Linked DNA regions of Daphnia pulex. The main gene of each other region encodes a partner of the protein of the gene in region 2 in a complex. Links are inferred from orthologs where the notes say so. Each region holds a gene or a part of one and is shown on either strand. Other genes may lie near its edges.

Region 1 (5,570 bases), on a different chromosome or scaffold from region 2:
AGTGCAATAGGCGTGACCCAAAACAATATCCTGACATGGCCTACTTGACTTCTAGGCCGGCGTCCGACTGTTCGAGCTATCCCTTAGTGTAACTTTTTACACCCCCATGACCCCATCCCAACCCAGCCCGGTACACAGCACATCTAGCGGGTGCGAAAAAAGTTTTCTCAGCCCAGAAGGAGCCAGGACCAGAAAGACAAAGACCAGCAGAGAAGAGAACTACTAAGTATAGGGTAATCTAAGATTTAAAATTTTACTACAAGCAGTGACTGAAAAAAAAAGATTACCCCTTCCTTTAGATACATTGAATGTCTGGAAACATGTTTAATTCACGTACGATTGATGGTTTGCATGTATCAACCACAAAGATGAGACATTGTTACAAAATTCAATTTCAAATATAAAAACAGTGCCACAACTCAAGTACCCGAGTTATTGTTCTTCTTCAAAGCAGGCCTTTCGAACACTTGTTTTACTCCACCAGCATGCTGTGTGTAGAATTTCAAATTCTGAGCAGTATGCGTGGCCCACGGTGCGTCGGCTTGTGATGTATCTTGATCCACCAAATGTGTGTATTTGGTTCGACCACTGCGACCGAAATTCTTAACTTGCATCACTTTAGGCAGAACAGTCTTATCGAAGTGATCTTCAAGAGTTGGCACAGCAAAATCGCGTTTGAAAACTTCCTTGTCTTCGTCCTGTTAGAGTAAGAGTTTAAATTATTTTTAAAATCCCAAATATCTTTAAAAGCTGAACTTACGAGGTAAAAGGCACCGCGATGATAGTATTTCTGTAGGAACTTATATTTGCCCTTTGGTGCCTTGTTTGTGACTTCCTTTGGATTGTTCTTGAATTCCAGTCGCCGTTCTTCTTCGGTCATATTACGGATACGTTCAATTTCTTGTCGTTCTCTTTCTTCTGCCTCTCTTTCATCTCGGTCACGCTTATTGCGTTTAAGTTCACGTAATTTCCAGGTCTCGTATTCGAGTTCTTCATCCTCGGCATCCGTCAACACCGACAAGATTCCTGATTCAAGGTCTTTTTCGTCTTTGGCTTGCATTTCTTTTCTGACTTCTTCTTCAACAACCTGTTTAATAGATTTTTAATGCTTTTTTAGTTCAAAAAGTGTATAAATTTAAAAATGGTTTACCTTTAAGGTATAGCGGCGACGTTCTTCGGCAAGCTTTTTAGCTTCAAGTTCCATAAGCTTTTGTTTTTGCAATTCCTTTTCCTTCTCAGCTATGGTTATACGTTCTTTCTTGCTAACGAAGATGGGCTTCAGTCTTGGACCCGTTTCTTCCTCAGAATCTAGGATAAAAAACACAACAGATTTAGAGTCTTGTTCACATCAAGGGACTTTTATTTCAAACCTGTATATTCTTCATATTCTGAAGCTTCGTCATCTTCATCTTCCTCACTTTCCTTCTCCTCCTCTCTTGCCAACAACTCCTACAACAAAATTTGCAATTGAATTGAATTGATCAATGATCATACTACAAAGTATATTAACTTACTTCTTCTTGCTGTTTAATAACAGCCTTCTGACGTGCAATCATTCTTCTGCGCTCAATGTCATCTTCATCAAGATCTTCTGCCTCATCCTCTTCTTCACTTGATTCCCATCTTCGGGCATTTTTGCTAAAACTTACTTCTTCACTTTCTAAATGAGGTGTTACTTCATCTTCTTCTGTTCCAATAATTTCAGGCTCATGGATATGACGATGCCTTTCAATTCTATGGTCGTCAACTTCACGATTTAAAAGACGTTTTAATCTTCTGTCACTGTGAGCAGTAAGTGGAAGATCTGGGGTTTCGTCCCATTCTTTTTCAGGACTACAATTTAATCAAATTTTTTAAATATACAAGCATATAAATACATATCTACAATCAATAATTTAATACCTTTCTTCTACTGGTCTTCCTCTTGCCTGCTTTCTTGGTCTGATAAACTCTTCTTCATCACTATCATCTGAAGATGAATGTGTAGTAGCGTAGTCTGGTCGTTTGCCTGATACGTAACGATTGACTTTAACTTTTTGCATAGATATCTCCCCTTTGTCATTTTTCACAGGGATAGCACCCGCGGTTGAAAGGATAGGGACCACTTTGGATGACGACATTTTCACAAAAAATTGTCTTAATCTTAATACGGAACGACCATATACACGCGTTTGTTGTCTGAATTTTCACTCAATGTTTTTTTCGTTGCCATTGCATACTCTATTCAGGGCCAGTGGGCCACTCATCGGATCACCAGAGTGCAGAGTCCTCTGTTGGCGAATGAAATTGAAGACGACTACTGCGCCATCTAAGAACTTAAATTGAAATAAAGAATGACGTGACTTTTGCCGTCTCCTATGGCACGTAATATTGTATGACATGTTATTGCAGACTGTGACCAGTACCCAGCAATTGATGTTGCTGTAATCCACTGAAAATCTGATTATGCTGCTTCTAGGCAACACAATGCAAACACGATAGTTTTATCTGAGTTTTATTAGCTGATAGCAGGATCAGGATAAAGAGGCCGTGACCAAAATCCATGGAGACCTTTCGCCAAGTTCTATCCAGGGATTGGCAACCGTGAGGAATCTCGTTTACCTTGAAGTGCCTAAGAATCACGAAATAAATCTGAGAAAATTAATGTCGGAATTTAGGAATTTGGACCTCATTATGACGTTACAATAAATCACTCATTTATTGTATATAGCAACTACCTACTTACTACTTACTTTGTAGGAAATTACTTATGTCGTAGCTAGATTTTACACATCGCACTATTTGATCGCAATGGCGGTGGTTTTACGAGTTTCAGCTTATTATCAACTGTTTCGAAACACCAAAGTATTCAAAGCTCCGCATGACTTCGTGCAGTTTTCACCGGATCGTCGAAGATATTGAACTCAAGGACATCGATTAGACACACACTTCAAAATTTACCTCACGCTATATTCCACTAAATATATCCGCTCGAAAGTTTAACCGAATATTTTTGGTGGTTCTACCGCTTTTTTTTTATCGTCATAGCATAATAATGTGCGGTTTCGAAATTCTACTTCGATGTCTCCATTTTATTTCTTAATAAATAACTGTTTTGTACTGTAATAAAAGAAAGGAGCTAAAATAAATCTTTCCAGGCAACAAGCACTAGTGTGCTTATTTATAGAAAAATACCTAACCAGTAATAAGTATTGTGGGAGAAAAGCAAATCTTTTGAGTAGTCAAGTACACATGTGTCCGAAAAGCAACAACAAGAAATAACAATCCATCAAAAAAACGTCATAACATGGTGGCGGTGACTGTATAGAAACACTATGTACAAACCATGAACATATTTATGGTGAATATGCTTCTTTTGGAAAAAAAACAAAAGACTACGGCTAGCGGCTTACATGGTGAAATGTTTCAGTTGTAAAATGAGTAATTCAGCTTCCTTAAATGCACTTTGATAGCCGAGACAACCTGTTAGCTGTTGCTGCGGGGGGTTAAGGGAGGAGATAGGGATCCGGCTTGAGGCATTTTGTCGACTTCCGGCAACCTAAAAAGAAAAATGTGTTCATGAATTTCAACTTTTCTTTCGTAATCTTGACGCCAGAGACCGCTACTTAAATTGAAATTATAGACGTCGCTACTAAACACTTGCCGTATTGCCGATCAAATTTTTAGAAATGTTAGAAACTGCTAAATAAATTTTCCCCTTTCGAACCAATGAATCCTGCATTAAAAATTATAATAAAATAATTTATCACTCGTTGTTTCAATAATACATTTTAAAGATGTGGGAGGGAACACGTTGACGGTTAGGGAATGGTTTTGAAATCGAATCAAATCGAAGCTTGGGTGGGCGGATCAGAAGGTGGGCAGAAAAGGGGACACTGGCTGTCAGTGTTGGAATTCCATCTGCTCAATTACACTGGTGTGTGTATGTCATTCCTCTCGTTATTCCACTTGAATAAGTGTAATAATAGAAATAATTGATTAGTTGAGTGGAATGTGTTAAAGTCTGAAATAGCTAGTTGTTTTCAGACGCCGCCGTCACCAAAATTGGAAGAAGGAAAAAAAAGCCATCTGGTGAGATGCAAGGAGTACTATTCTGTCTGTTCATTACATTGGAAGGCCCGAGTTTTTTGGATCTTCTGAAGACTTGCAAAGATATCGGGAAGACCGGGTCGGGTGTTTGGGCGGCTAACTGAAGTGACAGGTGCCTTTTTATCTGAAGAAGCAAAGAAACTATTTATTTTCGCCTGTTTCCAACGCCTTCCATCGATTTCTTAGTGCTCACATCAAAAACAAAATAGTGTTTGTGCAAATAACGACTCCGGTTCATAGGAATGCCTTCGAAAATACTTCCATATTACAGCTAAAATTCCAGTAAACGTCATTGTTGAGTCTACATTAAAGTAAGTGGAAAACCTGATCTGATAATAGTATGTTAGCTAGTATGCTGTAAATGACTGAGCAAAGTCTGTTTATTTTTTTCTGATAACAACTTTTGCCACAAATGTCACTGAAAAGTTACCAAACTAGTTTGACACTTCAGTTCTACAGATGTGGATAAACTATATGGCTGTGGCTGACAGGGTCATTTTGTTGCTTGAAATAAAGTTCTTTTCTTGTAAAACAGCTTGTTAGTGAGCTGATTAGGAGAATGGGGAAAATACTGTCCAAAATATTCGGAAACAAGGAAATGAGGATACTCATGCTGGGGCTGGATGCAGCTGGAAAAACAAGTGAGATAAAGAATTTTATGTGTTGTCTGATAGCATTGGTTTTTTTCCAAGTTATACTTATTATTTTTGTTTTTCAAAATAGCAATTCTATACAAGCTGAAATTAGGACAGTCAGTCACAACAATTCCCACCGTTGGATTCAATGTTGAAACTGTAACATATAAAAATGTCAAATTCAATGTTTGGGTAAGCTAGTTCCTTTTGACCTCACCCATCAAATTTCTAAACCCAACACTAAAATATGAATCATTACTGCAGGATGTTGGTGGCCAAGATAAGATCCGCCCACTGTGGCGACACTATTATACTGGTACCCAAGGTTTGATATTCGTTGTGGACTGCGCAGATCGAGATCGAATTGACGAAGCTAGACAAGAACTTCATAGGATCATAAACGATCGTGAGATGCGTGATGCCATCATCCTTATATTTGCAAATAAACAAGACCTCCAGGATGGTGAGTATTTTACAATTATTATAATTGAGACTGTGGAACCCCAATTTATTCACGACATTTTCATGTTGACAGCCATGAAACCACACGAAATTCAAGAAAAACTGGGGCTGACTCGTATTCGTGATCGGAACTGGTACGTCCAGCCAGCATGTGCCACAACAGGCGACGGCTTGTATGAAGGACTAACGTGGTTAACATCTAATCACAAATCGTAATGAATCATTCGTTCAAGTGCTGTGTATAACAAAATTCAACAAGGTCGTGGGGCGTAGAGGAAAGATTTAGGAAACAAATAACTAAGACTATATGATTGAAGATGGCATCTCACTGCAATAGTGTGTTGCCAAAGTGCGCTATGGCATCAAATAATCAATACCGTACCG
Region 2 (5,593 bases):
GTAGTTGTCACTAATTCTATACCTCAAGATAGACACATGAAAGAGTGCTCCAAAATCCAGGTAATCTAAATTAGCACTACTCTTTGCATTAGCTCTTTTTTAACATGCCATTGTCTCATCTTGAAGGTGATAGACGTTTCGATGATGTTCGCCGAGGCCGTACGACGCACCCACAATGGCGAGTCGGTGTCGTACCTGTTCTCCAACGTCCCCTACTAAATATAGTACAATTAGCGCACCGAACACCTGCGAGCTTCATCACTACAATGATTGTCGCTGTGGCCTCCCTCTCTGGCACCAACCCTCCTTCTCTTTTTGCAGTTTAGATACATTCCACACATTCGATCATTATTTTTCTTCTTTTTTTTCCCGACTTGTCTATGTGTGGCAACCACGATATATATCTATCTATCCGCTACTTTCAAGATGAAATGGAAAACTCCTCCCAAGCAGCCTTTTTTCTTTCCATCCATTTGGCCCGTTGCGATGAGCCCAACCCCTTCATTCTTCTTGATAGACAAGATTGACAAATAGAGTTGTGCCATAATTGTCACATGCCCTCTTTCGATGCTCGTTGGTGTGCTTTGTGGTGGCTTTCATGTGTGTTTATCCTTTTTCTTTTTATATGGGTCAGTCTTTGACGAACCACTATATACTTTTCTCACTTTCTGTCTTGTTGAATATCTTTTGGTCCACAAAAATAGTTTTTGTTTAGAAAAAAAAATGGAATGAAATTGACTGATGCTCTGGAATTGTTTCACTGCACTTGTGATGAAATATATATGAAGCTAGTGAGGGTACGAAAAACAAATCTTTTCATTCACGATGGGTACCTAAATGAATGCAGTTAATTGGGAACATTAGAAAACATTTTCGCGGTCAATACAGTAGAATATGGTTAATGAAGGAAAACCAATGATGAAAAATATCAATTACGACGAACAGACTTCTCCGGTTTTCTAAACGAATAAGAAATCATGAATTATACAGGAAAACATTTTGAAATAATTATGAAACTTACTGTGATTCTCCCGATGGACCTCCTTTACGCTTGTGTAGGATAGATTGGATCTTCTGCCATTCTCGGTCCAGTTCCGCTTTCTCCGTCTTATCTGTTTTGACAACAGTCTTGTTGCGCGTCTTGCGTCCGTCGGCCATCTTGATACCATACTGATAGGCAGCTTTAGGAAGGGCTTCCTTTTTGTTCATGTAATCACCATACTCTTCCGCTGTATCAAAGTCCCATCGACCGACTGGTCCTTTTTTGTTGCCCTGAGAAATAAGTTTACAAAAAGAATCTGTAAAATCAATTTTCAATCAACGTTTTAATCATTTCTTACCAGGTCCATTTTTGAGTAATCGGCTTCATCGTCCGAGTCTTCAAGAGCGTCGTTCATTTCCTCGAAACCAGGATAGCATTCGGCATATCCTTCAGGTTCAGCGGATAGTTTAGAAAGCATTTTATCTGCCTTCTTGGAAGACCCACCATCTCGTTTCTGTGAATCAATAGACAATCAATAACTGGTAAAAGATGAAACTCAGTATCATTATTGAAAACTTGCATCAGCTGCTCCTGGTTTTAGCAGGGCACCCAGAGTCCGTTCAGCTTCCAAAACTGCGGCGCTTTTCAAAGCATCCTTGGACTTGTCTCGATCAGCATCTCCGTCTTTATCCTTGCGGGATTTGTCGTCAAAGTAGTCACGCTTGTCACTTCGCCTTTCCCTGTCACGTGAACTACTAGAGGCAGTTTTCTCCTTTGTCGGGGCCACATAAGTCCCGATATTGCTGTAGATGGTGTCTTCTACTATTGTGGATTTGTTGACTTTCAGGCCGGGGATGATTTGCGGGGGTGGCATGTCTTTGTTTTCTTTGGGCTTTTTGAGCTTTTTGCCGATTTTTCCTTGCCGGAGGTACGATAAAATTTGCGTCAGCTTATTAATGACAATGTCATTTGTAGACAGAGTGGCTAAGGATTCCAGTCCGGGGCAATCAGCTTTGCTTCTCAACACGGTCGTTGGTATGTCTGACTCGGCATTCTCATCTTCTAACTCGATAAGATACGCCATTCGACCAGGAAGGAAATGTTCGTTTCGCTCAGGTGGTTTTGATCTGAATACGGCCCTGCATTTTAAAATAAATAAAACAATAAATTAACTCATGATCATTTCAATGATATGAAGTTGAAGTTTTACCTAAAAATGTTTTTTCCTATAATTGTTTTAAACTGGATCTCATCGTCACCTTCCTTCTTTTTCTCGACTTCCTTTTCTCCCTCTTTTTTTTCGCCTTCAACAGCCTGTTCGAGTTGTTCGTCATCCTCTTCTTCAAACTGCTCCATTTCACTGCGTACTTTCTGGAGAAGAGCATAATCGAGACCTTTCACCAAGTGAGTGTGTTCCATGTCACCACCCAAAAACTTTGATTCTTGGATCATTTGTTTCCTTCGTTCAGCAGCATCCATTGTTCTGTAAAAGAAATTTGATTCATGTTGATTGTTTGAAGTTTTTCAGTAGAAAAGTATGACTGTAGTACGATTTTATATCTGGTGCTACAGCACGATAAGCTCCAAGTGTCGCTAACGCATCAGGGCCAGAAGCTTCGCCTCCATCTCGTCTTTCTTTAGCACGATCGCGATATTTTTTTGCAAGTTCAGCTAGAATTTCTTCTTCTTCTTTTTTCTCTTTCAAGTATTCACTAAAATTATTCAAAGACGTTAACAACTATTAATGCATAGTTTGAATGAGTGTCTCACCTTTTTTTAGCTCTTTTCTGGTCACTTTTCCCATGTGTTGTTTTACGAACACTACTCTCTCCTCGAACAGACCCCATCCCCAAATTACTTGAAGAACCTGAACCTGATCCAAATCCAGCACGAGGTGTCATCATCAACTTTCGGAAGTCATCGTTTGTCAACCTGGAGGATCTACGGATTAAAAAATAAAAACAATAAGCTACATTAATTTGGAACATGGTCTAAATGAATGAATCATTTCTTACGCTTCCCCAGGTCCAGCGTCCTGCCCATCTCCTGAAACGAAATTCAATTTAAAGTTACTATACATTATTTCAATAAAAAATTACAGCAATGATCTTACTGTCAGGCATTATTAGGCCGATAGATAGTTGAATTCACAATGAGAAAACAAAATTTACAAAAACTTTGCTTGCCAAAGCCAAACAGTTCGAAACTTCGAACTTGTCGAAACAACAGACGAAGCAAACTAACGTCGTCTGCTAAGTCTACGGGAATACTAAACAGTAGCTGAAGGAAAAACAAAATAAATAAAAACGCGGGGAGTATGAATTCTGAGCATTACGCCAGTGTATTTTTCACATCATTATTTCTGCGTTTTTGTCATCGGAATTATAACAAAATCAGTACCATGAAACGAAATCATTGTAGTATTCTTTCAAAGCCTACTTAAAAAGTAGATAAGTTTCACACAGAGAAAATCTCTTCATATTAGCCATTGACTTTACACAAAGCCTCTAAATTAGGAAGCTGACAATAAGCAACTTCACCGTTGAGTGATCCCCCAACCATCTGAAATAAAATTTCATTACTTCAAGCCTCAGGATTTTCAAAAATAAGTAAACCAAAACAATACCTTGCCATTGACGATTTTCATACATGTGATTGTCTTCAAGGCCTGCCCTGGCAAAGTGATAATTCGAGACGGCTTATGCAATGTATCTATTACTCGAATAACTCCATCCATACAGCCAAGGATGAGATATCGGTTCCCTTCAAAGGACGAACTCACAGCCGCAGAGGGAACTAAAACATTTGAAAATTTTAATTACTTTATCGGAAAATTAACTCTACACGTTCTTACGAGTTTCCGTGATATACATATTATCACTATTTGTGTCGAATTTAAAGAGGTTCTTGTTGGCGTCGCAGCAGAACACATAGTGCGAGGTACTTGACATACAGTAAAAAGAACTGCTCGGAATGTTTGAGGTCAATGTGAAGAGAGCATCTTCCGTATCCAAGTCATAAACAACGGGGTCCATTCGCCTCGCTGCCACAATGATTGCTCTTTTTCCCCGAACGTTTAGTATCTTCATACAAATGACTTCACCATTCGCCTGCAAAAATAGAAGCTTTTGAAATTGTTCTAACTCGTAACTTATTTTACCAAATCAAACTTACTTTAAATTTGTTTATCCGGATACTATTGATTTTGGGATTATAAGTGAAGATGGTTCCTTCCGTAGTGCCCACATAGAGCTTTGTGATAAATTTGTGGCCCACTGCACACGTCAAAGCATGTTTACAAAATCTTTCGTGGATCAAGGAGCCACTGTCTAATGCAAACTGTCGAATGTGTGCGTCTTCACTGCCCGTGATGAGCGTCAAGTGGTTGAGATAGTCAGTAGTGGACTTGATCGACTTCATCACCTCACCCGACGTGTTCAATGCGACTCCGTACAACCAAGTAACCGGCTTGGTGTGACCCAATATCCGCATGGCGAGCGCATTCGTATTCAAATCGTAAATGTGGACCGTCCCATCTTCTGAAGCCGTGAATGCGCACGGCCCACAGATGTACACGCACCTCACCGACGATTCGTGCGACCTCAATAGAATCGGATTAGATGAATTCGTTCGAGGGGCTGTTGTGGTAGTCGCTGGTGTTGTCTGTTTGGCAGTAGTGGAGGAACTGGTAGATTTTTGCGTGGAAACTGAGGGTGTTGCAGTAGCAGCGGCATCTTTCCCCTGGCTAGGTTCAGTTGTTCGAGCCGATAATCTACCAGCTGCTCCAGAGACTTGAGGATTGACTGGAGGACAAGGTTTTGGGGTAGTGTTTTTACTGCTTGCTTCGTCCCGCTTTGAATAAGTGCGCACATTTTCACTCGGCCGTGAAGTAGTGACTTCCGCTGACTTTTCTGTCGTTTTGGAAGCATTCGCAACATTCTTTGGAGTAACAACTTTTGCTTTTTCTGCAACAGTAGCTGACTTTTTCGGCTCTACGGCTTTAGGCTCTGCAGGTTTAGGATCCGGTACTTTAGGCTCCGTAACTTTAGGCGATGAAGAAACACTTTGAGATTTAGCTGCTGAAATCTCTTTTGACTGATTGTGAGACTCGGCAGCAAGTGACGATTCGGACGGAGATGTTGCCTTTTTAGACTGATTGGGAAGGATGACGGGCGTCGGCGTCTTCTTCGTACAACTGATTGTTTCCACTGATTGTGCAATTACGGAAGAAATCGTCGAAGTGATCTGGTTAATTTGACTTATTGACAAAGTCTGTGGAAGAGCTGGAGTAAATTGCATAGGCTGGAAAACAGCTTCGTTTGTTTGCACTTGACCAGGCTTTTCCACAGATGGTGGGATATCAGCAGCACTGCGTAACGGAGAATTGGTTGGCGTACCCTTTTTCTTCTGTTGTTTGGAGTCATCGCTGGGTATCCGCTTCCGTTTAGTTCCAATCGTAGTCGGAGTAACGGAATCTGAGGGGACAGCCTCCATATCACCAAGAGCTACTTGCACTCCATTCTCTTCCAGCTGATGCATTAGACTCAGTAACTGCGTTGAGGCTGCAGGGGGGACCGGTTGGACGGGTGAGGCTTCTTCACAGGCGACTTC
Region 3 (4,911 bases), on a different chromosome or scaffold from region 2:
CCCTGGTTTTTCCTCAAGAAGCTGGTAGATATTAAACATTTTACTTAGATCTGTTTTATCCAATAACCGTTTGATTTATTCGACAGGTTTTAACCAATTCGAAAAGGTACTTTGCAATAAATAATAAACCGGATTTCAAGCCATATATACACCGTTTCTGCAGCTTGCACCTGATCTGGCAGGCCGTCGGAACTCTATTAAGTTTATCTGAGAACCATCGGTACTTTGCCTAGACAGCGTCCTGGAGAAACTACTACTCCACTGCACCGCCTTCGAAGAAATTATGTGGTGTGTACATTCCCCTTTCGATAACTAAAGGATTCGAAGAACTCTCTTCATTTTCTAGGATACTTTCTGAGGTAGCGTTCGGTCTTTTTTTGTCTACATCTGCAATCTACATCTTCTCTCAGTGTCTAGAAAAAAAAATGGTGGAATTTCGATTCTATCAAAGACACTTACACCATCTAGTGGACATAGTTTTTAGCCAACGAGTGATCTAATGGCAATACATTTTATAGCTGGAAAAATGATGTCCAGTTCCAGTAAAAGAAAAGAAACCATGAAGATCCCACACATCACAGATCATTTAAATTTTAGTCAGACCACGTTAAAAAGGATTGGAAGCTGGTGTCGTCTGCATCTCCGAGGCCGTAGTACCGTAATCCGTGTTGAGCTTTTATCTTATAGGACGAGACTACGAGATCTTTAGCCTAACTAGTAACTACGGTACTGAGGAAAAATTGTAAGTGACGAAAAATAATAGGAAAAATTTCAAATGAGGAACAAGTCCTTTTCTGATTGTTATTCTTGCAACGGCTGATGCTTCGTAAGTTCTTAACGAAAGGAAATTTTGGAAAAATTATCTCAAAAAATAAAAATCACCATAAATTCATACTGGTGCACCAGCCAATCATGAAGTCATTACTGCGCGCCGAGGGCAATAATAGTTTTTCGGGATCCGTGAACAGATATAAACTTTTTCGCCATTTTACAAAGAATTCAGAAAACGGGGTCAACATTAAATAGTAGTGTCAAAATGATGATTGATCTACAAATTTGTGTTTAAAATGTCTGTTGGGATCAGCTAATACTTACCTTGTTTTTGACTCTTTTACATTTGCAATAACGAACACCGTCTCACTTAGGAAGAATCCTAAGTTCTTGTCTAAGTTGAAGTCTGCACATCCAACACAAGAAATAAGAATAAAGAATCAGATAGACCTCGGAATAATAAGGAAATGAAAAGAGTGTTTATTACAAAACGATTAGAAAAAAGACAGCAGATTACGGTCGCAAAGGAGCCAGCCCCAACTTAGCTCGCAAGGCATTCGCTTCTGCAATTTCAGGATCGATGGCAGCACTGGAACTGCTACTCTTTTTGCTATCTTTCTTTTTGTTGTTGTACTTGTCACGATCTTCGCCTCTTTTGCTTCGATCTCGTTCTGATTCACGATCTTTCCCGCGGTCCTTGCGGTCTCTACGATCCCTGTCTTGGTCTCTTCTGTAGTCACGCGAACGTTCGACTGAGCGGCTTCGCTGGCGGCGACTTCGATCCCTTTCTCTTTCACGACTGCGGTCCCTGTCACGCTCACGGCTGCGATTCCTTTTGTCACGACTTCGACTTCTGTCTCTATGTCGATCACGTCTTTCCCTACTTCTCTCTCGTTCACGTTCTTTATCCCTATTACGACGAGAACGTTCCCGTTCTCGATCACTGTCCTGCTTTGAACGCGATGTAGTAGGAGGGGGCGACAACGAACCTCCTTTCCTTTCACCCTCTTCTTCTTCACTTTCTGAATCTTCTTCCTCCAAGTCTTCTTCCAAAGCTGATACTCTCGGCTCAACTTCATTAGCTTCTTCCAGAATTTGACGTTTCTGAAAGTAAAATAAACCGTATTTAATCAGTATTTTTTAGGTTGAATACTAATTCACATTTATACCTGAAGTCTGGGCAGGATAACATCACAAAAACGCTCTTCTCTCAGTAAACTATCAATGAAATCATCCATGTAAAGAAGCTCAAAATCTAAATAAAACCACATGTTAATTTGCAGTATTCTTTTTAAAAATATCTTATTTTTATTATTACTTCCTTCCTTGTTTTGAAACCGAATTTTTCTGTAATCATTGTAAAGTGGTTCTAAATATTTATAGATTTCCACAGATGTTCCAACAAGTCTCATGTAGAATGCTCCCAAGGCACGGACATATCTATAATGATACATTATATTAGGTGATTTCCTGTATAACTTGTCTGTTTTGGTCAAAGAACTTACTTGAAATCTTCATTTTTTATAAACTCCACTACAATGTCCTTTTCTGGTTGGATTTGAAGCATTTTTAGTGTAAGTGAGAGAAATGGAGTAGGTTTAACATTACCACCAAATATTCCACCAATGTACCTTAATTCCATGGCCTTATCCACCATCAACTCAGCTAAAAAAATACATATACATAAATAAAATGAGTGCATCAAAACACAAGTAAAATTTTCAATATACCTGTCAAAGCAAAGCATTCTTCTTTCCAGTACTTTGAATCATAAATTCGAGTTCTAATAATCTTTTCAACCAAGTATTGAGGATTTGTTCCTTTAACAGAAATTGCCTCTTTGATTGTTCGATTAGCCATTTTGAATTAATCTAAAACACTAGATGTGTACAGTCAAAAGAATAATCATTGAAATTTAACTGTGTTGATAAAAAGTAAAACTTTGTCGGCATTAGCAACGGAACGACAGAACGACGCTTGAATCCGTCGTCTGCTACGGACAGACAGAGACATCAAGTGGTCAAGTGGGTGGGGCGATCAATTCATCAATTGAAAAGAAAATTTTATCGTTATTTAGTTTACTTTTATGAAATATTTTTATATTTTTAACAAATCAATCACTTAAGTTATTTAAGATTTTTCAAACTAAATTTTTTAAACTGACCTGTCTGTTCTGAGAGAAGAGTCTTCATTTTTTTCTGTAGCTTTTCCGTTTGTTTTTCGCCTGCTAAACATTCCAGTATACTACCTTGATACTACTACAGACGTAAATCATCACGTAATCATTTTGAATCTATCTCGCCACGGTTATGGCAAAATATTTGGCCCAAATAATTGTTATGGGGGGCCAGGTTATTGGGCGAGCGTTTGCTAGAGCTCTTAAACAAGAATATCAAGCTAGCCAGGAAGCTGCCAAAAGAGCTGGTGGTGGGAAAGCCGGCGCATCACGTGTAGAAGCTAACTTCAAGGTTTGTTTGTTACACACAAAAGTTATGTAATATCAGTAAATTTTAAAAAGTTAACATGTTTTTTTTTTCATTCTGTAGACAGGCATGACCCTTGAGGAAGCAAAAGAAATCTTGAATGTGGATAAATTAGAACCTGAGTTGGTGCAGAAGAACTATGATCACTTGTTCCAAGTTAATGACAAGACGAAAGGTGGTTCATTCTACCTTCAATCTAAAGTATACAGAGCTAAAGAACGACTTGACCAAGAAATGAAACATGAAACAAAAAAACAAGAACCGTCAAAAGAAAATAAAATGTAACCTTCTCCAAAACGACAGTTAAGGTTATGGAAATTATCTGGAATTTATCTTTGTAGTCAAATTGAAAAATTGTACATATAGGGATAACTAATAAAAATCATTTTTTATAACCTTTTTTATTCTAATATTATAGAATCCTTATGCATATTTTTTTATTGTGATGTGATGTATAAACATTTTTTCAGGTATGATTTTAATTTAGTAGGCTTTGTTCTTACCTTTATATTTGAATCATATATTTTAGTGAAAACTTTAATCTTAACACAACTTGTGATTGCTGCAAATTTATTTCACTATACATTTACCAAGCTCATTTAATTATTTGTTTTATATGCATTAGGCCTTCTATAGCAAACACGGTTTTTACCAGTTTTTACAATGACTGACGACGACAATCAATATGGTATCCGTTAGAATGTAATTTATTACAGAATCTGGCAAACCGCTCATTCAAATATTTATAGAACCTTTTTACAAATATAATCTTTACATTTTATAAATATTAAAAACTGACATTTTATCTTCTAAACAATGTTGACTTTAGAACTTTTACTCTTTAAACTGATTTTTCGGCGCCAATAGGTGGAGGAAGATTTGCGCTTGTTTGTGTCAACAGATCGTAGTCACCTTGCCTGTGGTTCGTTTCCCGTTCGTTGCTGCCGCTACAACAGTTTAAAACAAAAGAAGAACTGAAACTCTTTTTAGTGCACATCATGTAAATCGTTAAAGCCATCACGAGTGCTAAATTAAACGCCAGAGCCAGTTCGACACCCACGGACCAGTTTTCGTAGCCCGTTAATTGCTTTACGAGTTCATGCGGATAACAGTGCGATTCTGGTTCTATTTGGGATCCTACGGTGAAACAACATTTGTTAATAGATTTTTCAAACATAGGTCTAACCATCAGTACCTGGTATAGAAACAAACTTGAGCTGTGAATCAGGATAGCATGAAGTGCACTGAGAATCACTTGGTCCTCTGCAGTAAAGACAAGAATAGTGGCACGGAACGCATACACCGCTAAGGAGACCATTTAGTTCGGTGCGATTCATTGGATGTGAAGCATTCGGACAGACTGCCAAGCACTTGCCCTCCCACAAATAGGAACCACTTTCACACCCTGGGAGCCACAGCAGAAGAGGTATAATGGATTCAAATATGGTATGTTAATCAATCATGCTAAGTTAATCAAGTAGTACCTCTAAGACTTCTGCTAACGGTCGTCATTAAGAGAGTTTGGGGCAATTCTGCTTCACGGTTTTTCTCCACGTTAAGTCCCGATGATAGAAGAGGCTGCTGAATTTGACTATCTTTTGAGACGAATTCAGCAACCGATTGTTTCACTGGTTGAATGGGAATGTCATCAGATGAT

The links. Proteins that work in one complex are often made in the same cells at the same time.
Region 1: protein Red-like (region 2) and microfibrillar-associated protein 1-like share a complex: the UniProt entries of both Homo sapiens proteins name them as parts of the spliceosome B complex. The link is inferred for Daphnia pulex from reciprocal best matches to the Homo sapiens genes IK and MFAP1.
Region 3: protein Red-like (region 2) and pre-mRNA-splicing factor 38A-like share a complex: the UniProt entries of both Homo sapiens proteins name them as parts of the spliceosome B complex. The link is inferred for Daphnia pulex from reciprocal best matches to the Homo sapiens genes IK and PRPF38A.

Annotation. Positions count from the first base shown.
Region 1 is NC_060019.1:11,264,708-11,270,277, forward strand, and holds microfibrillar-associated protein 1-like, read right to left. Parts: upstream 3,536-5,570; 5' UTR 3,393-3,535; exon of another isoform or gene 3,325-3,392; intron 2,612-3,324; 5' UTR 2,121-2,611; coding exon 1,903-2,120; intron 1,834-1,902; coding exon 1,515-1,833; intron 1,450-1,514; coding exon 1,371-1,449; intron 1,309-1,370; coding exon 1,151-1,308; intron 1,088-1,150; coding exon 761-1,087; intron 699-760; coding exon 420-698; 3' UTR 310-419; downstream 1-309. Other genes in the region: ADP-ribosylation factor 6, read left to right, coding at 4,649-4,730, 4,813-4,916, 4,989-5,187, 5,260-5,402. UniProt on the Homo sapiens protein: Involved in pre-mRNA splicing as a component of the spliceosome.
Region 2 is NC_060027.1:2,115,395-2,120,987, reverse strand, and holds protein Red-like, read right to left. Parts: upstream 3,243-5,593; 5' UTR 3,106-3,242; coding exon 3,096-3,105; intron 3,029-3,095; coding exon 2,998-3,028; intron 2,924-2,997; coding exon 2,753-2,923; intron 2,695-2,752; coding exon 2,533-2,694; intron 2,466-2,532; coding exon 2,193-2,465; intron 2,122-2,192; coding exon 1,563-2,121; intron 1,497-1,562; coding exon 1,341-1,496; intron 1,273-1,340; coding exon 1,022-1,272; intron 960-1,021; coding exon 929-959; 3' UTR 740-928; downstream 1-739. Other genes in the region: ribose-phosphate pyrophosphokinase 1, read left to right, coding at 1-60, 127-219; flocculation protein FLO11-like, read right to left, coding at 3,464-3,544, 3,609-3,778, 3,837-4,092, 4,157-5,593. UniProt on the Homo sapiens protein: Involved in pre-mRNA splicing as a component of the spliceosome. Auxiliary spliceosomal protein that regulates selection of alternative splice sites in a small set of target pre-mRNA species. Required for normal mitotic cell cycle progression.
Region 3 is NC_060022.1:2,881,928-2,886,838, reverse strand, and holds pre-mRNA-splicing factor 38A-like, read right to left. Parts: upstream 2,777-4,911; 5' UTR 2,632-2,776; coding exon 2,502-2,631; intron 2,437-2,501; coding exon 2,277-2,436; intron 2,212-2,276; coding exon 2,090-2,211; intron 2,054-2,089; exon of another isoform or gene 2,027-2,053; coding exon 1,941-2,026; exon of another isoform or gene 1,876-1,940; coding exon 1,285-1,875; 3' UTR 1,236-1,284; downstream 1-1,235. Other genes in the region: mitochondrial import inner membrane translocase subunit Tim16-like, read left to right, coding at 3,081-3,239, 3,318-3,539; furin-like protease 1, read right to left, coding at 4,096-4,391, 4,450-4,659, 4,739-4,911. UniProt on the Homo sapiens protein: Involved in pre-mRNA splicing as a component of the spliceosome.